Saccharomyces cerevisiae S288C: one gene and its partner. The gene in region 1 interacts genetically with each later gene. Each region holds a gene or a part of one and is shown on either strand. Other genes may lie near its edges.

Region 1 (3,395 bases):
GAAACTTGATCGATTAAAGAAGAATCCTTACGCACATAAGCCCTTTGGTTCTACAAGAGGTCACCTCTCATCTTCGAGAAGAAGATTGCGTACATAATCTACGATATATCCTGTAAATAGAAACAGCTACACTGCTTGAAAGCCTTAACATGATACATTTCTGGTATGATGCCATTGTTGTGCCCTGCCGGGTTTATCGTTTCCTAACAGGCACGTCACTTATAACGAGGTGCCTGTCGTTTACCGCCCAAGCCGGTTTTTTCGCTGGAGAGTACGGTACTACTAGCCCACCACACGTTCGTGGCCAGGTTGATAGGCCACCGTTGAGCAAAGGGCAGTAAAATATATAAAAGAGGAACAAGCGCTTCCATTAAGAGCACTGCTAAGCCTACTCGTTTTCTAGTTCTCTGAAAAAAGGTAGCCTAAAACAAGCGCCATATCATATATATTTATACAGATTAGACGTACTCAAAATGTCTCAGAACGTTTACATTGTATCGACTGCCAGAACCCCAATTGGTTCATTCCAGGGTTCTCTATCCTCCAAGACAGCAGTGGAATTGGGTGCTGTTGCTTTAAAAGGCGCCTTGGCTAAGGTTCCAGAATTGGATGCATCCAAGGATTTTGACGAAATTATTTTTGGTAACGTTCTTTCTGCCAATTTGGGCCAAGCTCCGGCCAGACAAGTTGCTTTGGCTGCCGGTTTGAGTAATCATATCGTTGCAAGCACAGTTAACAAGGTCTGTGCATCCGCTATGAAGGCAATCATTTTGGGTGCTCAATCCATCAAATGTGGTAATGCTGATGTTGTCGTAGCTGGTGGTTGTGAATCTATGACTAACGCACCATACTACATGCCAGCAGCCCGTGCGGGTGCCAAATTTGGCCAAACTGTTCTTGTTGATGGTGTCGAAAGAGATGGGTTGAACGATGCGTACGATGGTCTAGCCATGGGTGTACACGCAGAAAAGTGTGCCCGTGATTGGGATATTACTAGAGAACAACAAGACAATTTTGCCATCGAATCCTACCAAAAATCTCAAAAATCTCAAAAGGAAGGTAAATTCGACAATGAAATTGTACCTGTTACCATTAAGGGATTTAGAGGTAAGCCTGATACTCAAGTCACGAAGGACGAGGAACCTGCTAGATTACACGTTGAAAAATTGAGATCTGCAAGGACTGTTTTCCAAAAAGAAAACGGTACTGTTACTGCCGCTAACGCTTCTCCAATCAACGATGGTGCTGCAGCCGTCATCTTGGTTTCCGAAAAAGTTTTGAAGGAAAAGAATTTGAAGCCTTTGGCTATTATCAAAGGTTGGGGTGAGGCCGCTCATCAACCAGCTGATTTTACATGGGCTCCATCTCTTGCAGTTCCAAAGGCTTTGAAACATGCTGGCATCGAAGACATCAATTCTGTTGATTACTTTGAATTCAATGAAGCCTTTTCGGTTGTCGGTTTGGTGAACACTAAGATTTTGAAGCTAGACCCATCTAAGGTTAATGTATATGGTGGTGCTGTTGCTCTAGGTCACCCATTGGGTTGTTCTGGTGCTAGAGTGGTTGTTACACTGCTATCCATCTTACAGCAAGAAGGAGGTAAGATCGGTGTTGCCGCCATTTGTAATGGTGGTGGTGGTGCTTCCTCTATTGTCATTGAAAAGATATGATTACGTTCTGCGATTTTCTCATGATCTTTTTCATAAAATACATAAATATATAAATGGCTTTATGTATAACAGGCATAATTTAAAGTTTTATTTGCGATTCATCGTTTTTCAGGTACTCAAACGCTGAGGTGTGCCTTTTGACTTACTTTTCCGCCTTGGCAAGCTGGCCGGGTGATACTTGCACAAGTTCCACTAATTACTGACATTTGTGGTATTAACTCGTTTGACTGCTCTACAATTGTAGGATGTTAATCAATGTCTTGGCTGCCTTCATTCTCTTCAGGCTCTATTAATTTTAACCGTTATAAGTTCCTTTTCTCCCTTGGAAGCAAACATCAACTGCCTTAAAATCTGGTGGCGAGGAAAGAGGAAATGGCATGTACTAATGATGGTCCTAATAAATATCCCGAAATTGTGAGTGTTAAGCACCTGTTCCAACATTCGGGATCCAAGCATGAATTTAGTGCTGGTAAACGATTTTCAAAATCCATTGGTAAAATATTCAAACGAAACTCTGCTTTGAAAACTTCTAGAACTGAAACGGCAAATCATAAAATGGAATTGAAAAAAAGAGAGGGTGTTACCTTATTGCCACCTGTCCCAGAATCATTATTACATAAACTCAATTCTTGGTTGGAAACTTTTTCTTCCACCAAGAACATGAAAATCGAAGAAAACAAAATTGTTATTAATGAAAAAGAGATTCGGGATTCAGTCTCTTACTACCCTGATAAGAATGGAGGAAGTGCTGTATTTTGTTACTTGCCCGACCTTGTGCTATATTATAAGCCGCCTATAAAAGTCACAGGCAAGCAATGTCCAATAAAGAGAAGTCCTTGGGAATCGATGGAAATCCAATATCAAAAGTTTATGTACCCCTTAGAAAGGTTGGAAAGACAGTTTGAGGAAGTTCCATTTAGGCCCTGGTATTTTGCAATGCGATTAAAGGAACTTTACAGATGCTGTGAAAGGTCTTTTACTAACGCGGCAAATAGAGGAAAGGCAAGGTTATTGCGGGGGAAGCAAAGGACGAAAAAATCGTATCATAAGACTGTCAACCTGGTATCAGCGAAGATTTCCACCCATTCAAATGCGCCGTCGCCGGGCTGAGAAACAAAAAAAGTGACTAAGTTCTGTCATTCTATCATTATTGTAATTAGTTATGTAGGACATATATATCCATAGTGATCTCCTTTTGATCAAAGAAGACACTGAAAAGTCGTAAGTTCGTAAAAAAAGTATGAAAATCGTTCCAGCCATTGCTTATAGCCATCCTAGTAGGATACTAGAAAAAAAACAAACCTCAAAGATAAAAAGAAAAGGTGAAGCTATTACCGAATTAGAACATAAGATAATACAGTGAGTATAAAGGTGAGACCTGCTCAATAATCTGGTAACCATTTCTCGTTTGGACCGTCTGTTAAAGTAGAAAAATTCATTTGTAAGCATAATAGCCTATTTCTTAATGTATCTTGTTGGAATTTGCAATCTTTGGAAGCACTAACGTCATCGATATCAGATTGGTAAGGTGTACTGTCCATTGAGGAAGTTAAAAAGGTACTATTATTGTGGTTGTTAGTGTATTCATACTTTTCCATACTTCCGTCACTATTATACGTTGATGGAATATCACTCTCCGGTTCAGCATCTTCCTCTTCTTGCTGCTGTTGTGCTTGTTCCTGGTTTTGTATTTGTTCTTGTTTTTGTTCCTGTTCTTGTTCTTGG
Region 2 (4,236 bases), on another chromosome or scaffold:
ATTCCAAAACCATTTACTCCAGAAGAAAGAAAGGAATGGTTGAGTAAATTAACCAACGTTTCTTTGTCATCGGATGCATTTTTCCCATTCCCAGACAATGTTTACAGAGCAGTTAAATCCGGTGTCAAATACATTGCCGCTCCATCTGGTTCTGTCATGGACAAGGTTGTATTTTCAGCTGCCGATTCATTCGATTTGGTTTACGTAGAGAACCCAATCCGTTTGTTCCACCATTAGATGGCATGAGTTCAGAGTCAATATGCCATAAATACAGAAATGACGGCAAATCGATGTATAGTTTATTCTTTCCTCCTCTAATGATATAATCGCCACTGACACTTTTATATATATACTAATGATACGATATGTTATAAGTACAATTTTAATTCGAACATTTCCCAAAGAAAAAAAACTTGATTTATTATTATGATGTTTATATGTGCAACACAGAAAGCTCTAGCTATAGTAATTAATGCTAGAGCTCCCAAACGAAAAACCTCTTTTAGATACCATGCAAAAGTTCTTAAACTATTATTTACTATCTGAAACAGGATGAACCTTACAGTACCCATGAACTTTACTCCTACAACATACGCAAGTGCTGAACCCACGTAAACCCAAAGAAATTCTGCAATCCTCGCAAATGGCAAAACATCGGCAGGGCCATAATACTGTATTTCTTTCATTGACTTTGCATACCGCGCAAGATAGATCAAAATCACTTTCTGTACCAAAAGTCTCATCTACTTCACTTAACTTTGTATCTAAGATAGACGCCCTTGTCAAAGTTTTATCTGACAGTAATTTTTGTTGAAGGATACGGCTAGTTGACATGATCCAATTATAATCAGTATGAACTTCATTATCTTCGGAAGAAAATAAATCCAGTAGGGCATCCCGAGTTTCGTTGAAAATCAGTGAATCTTCTTCCAAGTTTTCTTCATCAGAATCCCCCAGTGACTCAACTTCAGAAGGCTCGTAATCTTCAGAATACTCATCATCTGATGTGTTCAATAGTTCAAGTTCAATATCTTCTTTGTGGCCGGCACTATTATTGAGAGAGTTCGTTTTAGTTATCTTTAACATTTTTGATGGGTCGTTGTCGGGGATGTCCTCGTCCTTGTTATCTCTGAAGCCAAAGAATACTTGGCCTACAAGCTTCTTCATGATCCATATTATAGATTTTGGAAACATTAAAAAAAATCTTTGCTTTAATATTGATGAATTTTTCTTTGGGAAGCTGATGGAAGTGTTCTCTTTATACGGTTTAGAAAGTTCATTTAAATAACCGCTAATAAAAAATTTCTCATTAACATTATCCGGGATGTTAATAGCAGGAAATTCTCTTCGTATACCCTTTTCCATTAGTTCAGTTCCTGAGCATAATAATAGTGCGAATTTAGTGGCCATAGCAGAAAAATCTTCTTCTCCCGTGTAATTTAAGTATTTTTTCCAATTTCTACTGAGAGGGTAAAACTGTAAAAGTTCGCAAGAATTACGTGATTTTCCAAATGGATCCCATCTAATTAAGCATGATAATTTAAAAATCAGTAATGATAAGCAAATAATAGACACTGAAAACAGTTTTGGAAAGTGCCTAAATTTCACCGAAAATGGAAGGCTTTTCCAGCCGCCCTGCTTAACTCTTATCCCTAAGTAACAAATATGACAGAGGTTCATAATAGTACTAAAAAGTAGACGATAATTTCTAAGCCTGAAAATCTCCACCAAATGGATCAATATCCTGCTCAAAATAGCCATAGAACAGTCTATAATGTAATCAGGAGAATCTAAAAATTTAGTATTATTATTAGTCATTGTATAAAACTGAATCGAAAGTTCAAACAATGAATAGTCAGTGCCCTCCAAAGGGCTGGAATTCCGCATGATGGTAAATATGGTTTCGACACAATAAGAGTAAGCGAAAGCGTAGAATATATTCAGTAAAAATTTTTCTTGGGCAAAAGCAGGGTCGCCTAATATTTTGAAATCCTTACCCAAGGTCAGCGGACCTAAGGATACCATTGCTAATACAACTACTGCTGATACATGGAAAACATTACTCAACCATAACGGTAAAGTACGTCTGGAACCGTTGTTAAGGACGGCGTAAAATACAACGAACCGGTTCAGGACAATGGCGATTACAAAGCAAAATATGGCGTACGGGCTGAAAAAAAACCCTATTGTATCAAAAACAGACCTTAGAGTTGGGGGAATTTCTTCAGATTTAACGGTTTGCTCGTACTGCAAGTTCACAGCCCCAATAAAGGATAATCCAAGTCTATAAGGAAAGTTGATAACATTTGCGAAAGTGGAGTTACCTGAGATTACGGCTTGTGATGTTTGATTCAAATAGCTAAATGAATTTATGAACACATTTTCTGAAGAAGTGGAAGAGTTCATATTCTTAGCATAGTTTCTTTGTAAAAAGAAGAAAAAAACCCAGATAAAATTAAGAAAAATACCCCAAAGTGCAAATTGTCTATAAAATATAAAAGTAAGCAGTGATTATCTTCTTGAGTTAAAATTGTTGTGTGGTGAAAGAGTAATTTTAGTACTTCCTTCTATTTTTCTGTTCAAAACAATATAGTTTTCGTAATTGTGTTTTATTGTATTTTCCAATGTTTTTCATATTGCTTACTCAACTGACTTCAAAGTTTGATTCGTAGCTTCTCAATATTTCAACATAAAGGGGCGCCCTCAAAGGAATACGCGAGAAAAAAATAATGGTTGCTAAGAGATTCGAACTCTTGCATCTTACGATACCTGAGTATTCCCACAGTTAACTGCGGTCAAGATATTTCTTGAATCAGGCGCCTTAGACCGCTCGGCCAAACAACCACTTATCTGTTGAAAAGGTGTGACTATAGCAACTATAAGTTGTTATGAGTTGAATAGAATTTAAACTCATTATGGGATAAGCTGCTCGTCTATGCATTGGTAAAAGCACCTCGTTAATATGTAAAGGTCAAAAGGTCATATCAGCGAATAATAAATTTGGATCTTCCTATACTATATAAGAGAGGTTCACTGAACGCAGTCCGATCGGTTTATTATTTGAGATATAGGTGAATTTTGAGATAATTGTTGGGATTCCATTGTTGATAAAAGATTATAATATTAGGTAAACAGAATATACTAAAAGTTCTCCACGAGGACATAGGAATCCTCAAAATGGAATGTATATTTTTACATACTAATATTACGATTATCCCTCTTTCTATTTTATATGTTTCATTATCCTATCATATTATCAATCTTTGCATTTCAGCTTCTTCTAACTTTGATGACAGCTTCTCATAATTTATATCATCATCTAACACCGTCTATGATAATATATTGATAATATAACTACTAGTTGATAGACGGTAGTGGATTTTTATTCCAACATTATTAATCGTGACTAATATAACAAGTTCTCTGGTGGTTACCATATATTTAATGTAAAGACTCGCATGACACATATATATGACTACCACATAAATGTTTAATTTGAAAAAACTTCAGCTCTACTAAGGTACCTGTTGAAAATATCGAAATCCACAAGGACAATAATTTTGCTTGGTAATATTATTATTTTTCTTCCATTGTTTATGTTGATAATTAGAGGTTAAAAATTAGTATTAATGAAGAAGTGAGTACTGATCTTCTTATACTAAATAAGAGAGGTATATAAAACACACGCCGATTGGTCATATTAATTATGACCAATATAATAGTGATTCCGGTAGTTACTATACATTGATGTGACGACTCATATTCCTCATATATGTACCTACCATAACATGTTCAACTAATAGGTCTTTAACACAGCTTCAGTATTGTCTGAGCTTCTCGTTTAACATTCCTTCTGCAATAGGCGCAATCACACTTAAACGTATACGAGTTGTACATTAATATACGATGTAAGCATTAGATTGTTACCATAGCAACTCATGTCACTATTAATTACTCTCGTTCCAACAGTTTATTATATTATCAACCCTGTTTTTCATCTTCCATGGAATTTGGTAACTGCTCCTCACCGATTTATGTCATCTTGCTATTATATGGTAATATACCAAATGTGAAGGTATGCAATTGATATTTTTAGATTTTACCTTTTGGCAAAAAATCAGCACATTAGCAATAAGAAACCGTTTTATCGTTTTGTTCATTTTAATGACTTCACGGAAATTACTAGTTATTAATAGTATTTTACTCGTGAAAGATAATAATCCTTCCAATGATGAT

The links.
Region 2: mutations in SMA1 (region 1) and ASI1 together harm fitness more than expected from each alone (negative genetic interaction), as found in Saccharomyces cerevisiae (2 studies listed by BioGRID).

What each region holds. Positions count from the first base shown.
Region 1 is NC_001148.4:497,623-501,017, forward strand, and holds SMA1 (Sma1p), read left to right. Parts: upstream 1-2,042; coding exon 2,043-2,780; downstream 2,781-3,395. Other genes in the region: ATP-dependent RNA helicase SUV3, read left to right, coding at 1-97; ERG10 (acetyl-CoA C-acetyltransferase), read left to right, coding at 474-1,670; putative serine/threonine protein kinase SKS1, read right to left, coding at 3,053-3,395. UniProt on the Saccharomyces cerevisiae protein: Involved in spore and ascus formation. Required for the efficient assembly of the precursors of the prospore membrane to a continuous prospore membrane.
Region 2 is NC_001145.3:503,503-507,738, reverse strand, and holds ASI1 (putative ubiquitin-protein ligase ASI1), read right to left. Parts: upstream 2,407-4,236; coding exon 532-2,406; downstream 1-531. Other genes in the region: bifunctional phosphoribosylaminoimidazolecarboxamide formyltransferase/IMP cyclohydrolase ADE17, read left to right, coding at 1-237. UniProt on the Saccharomyces cerevisiae protein: E3 ubiquitin-protein ligase which transfers ubiquitin to substrates promoting their degradation.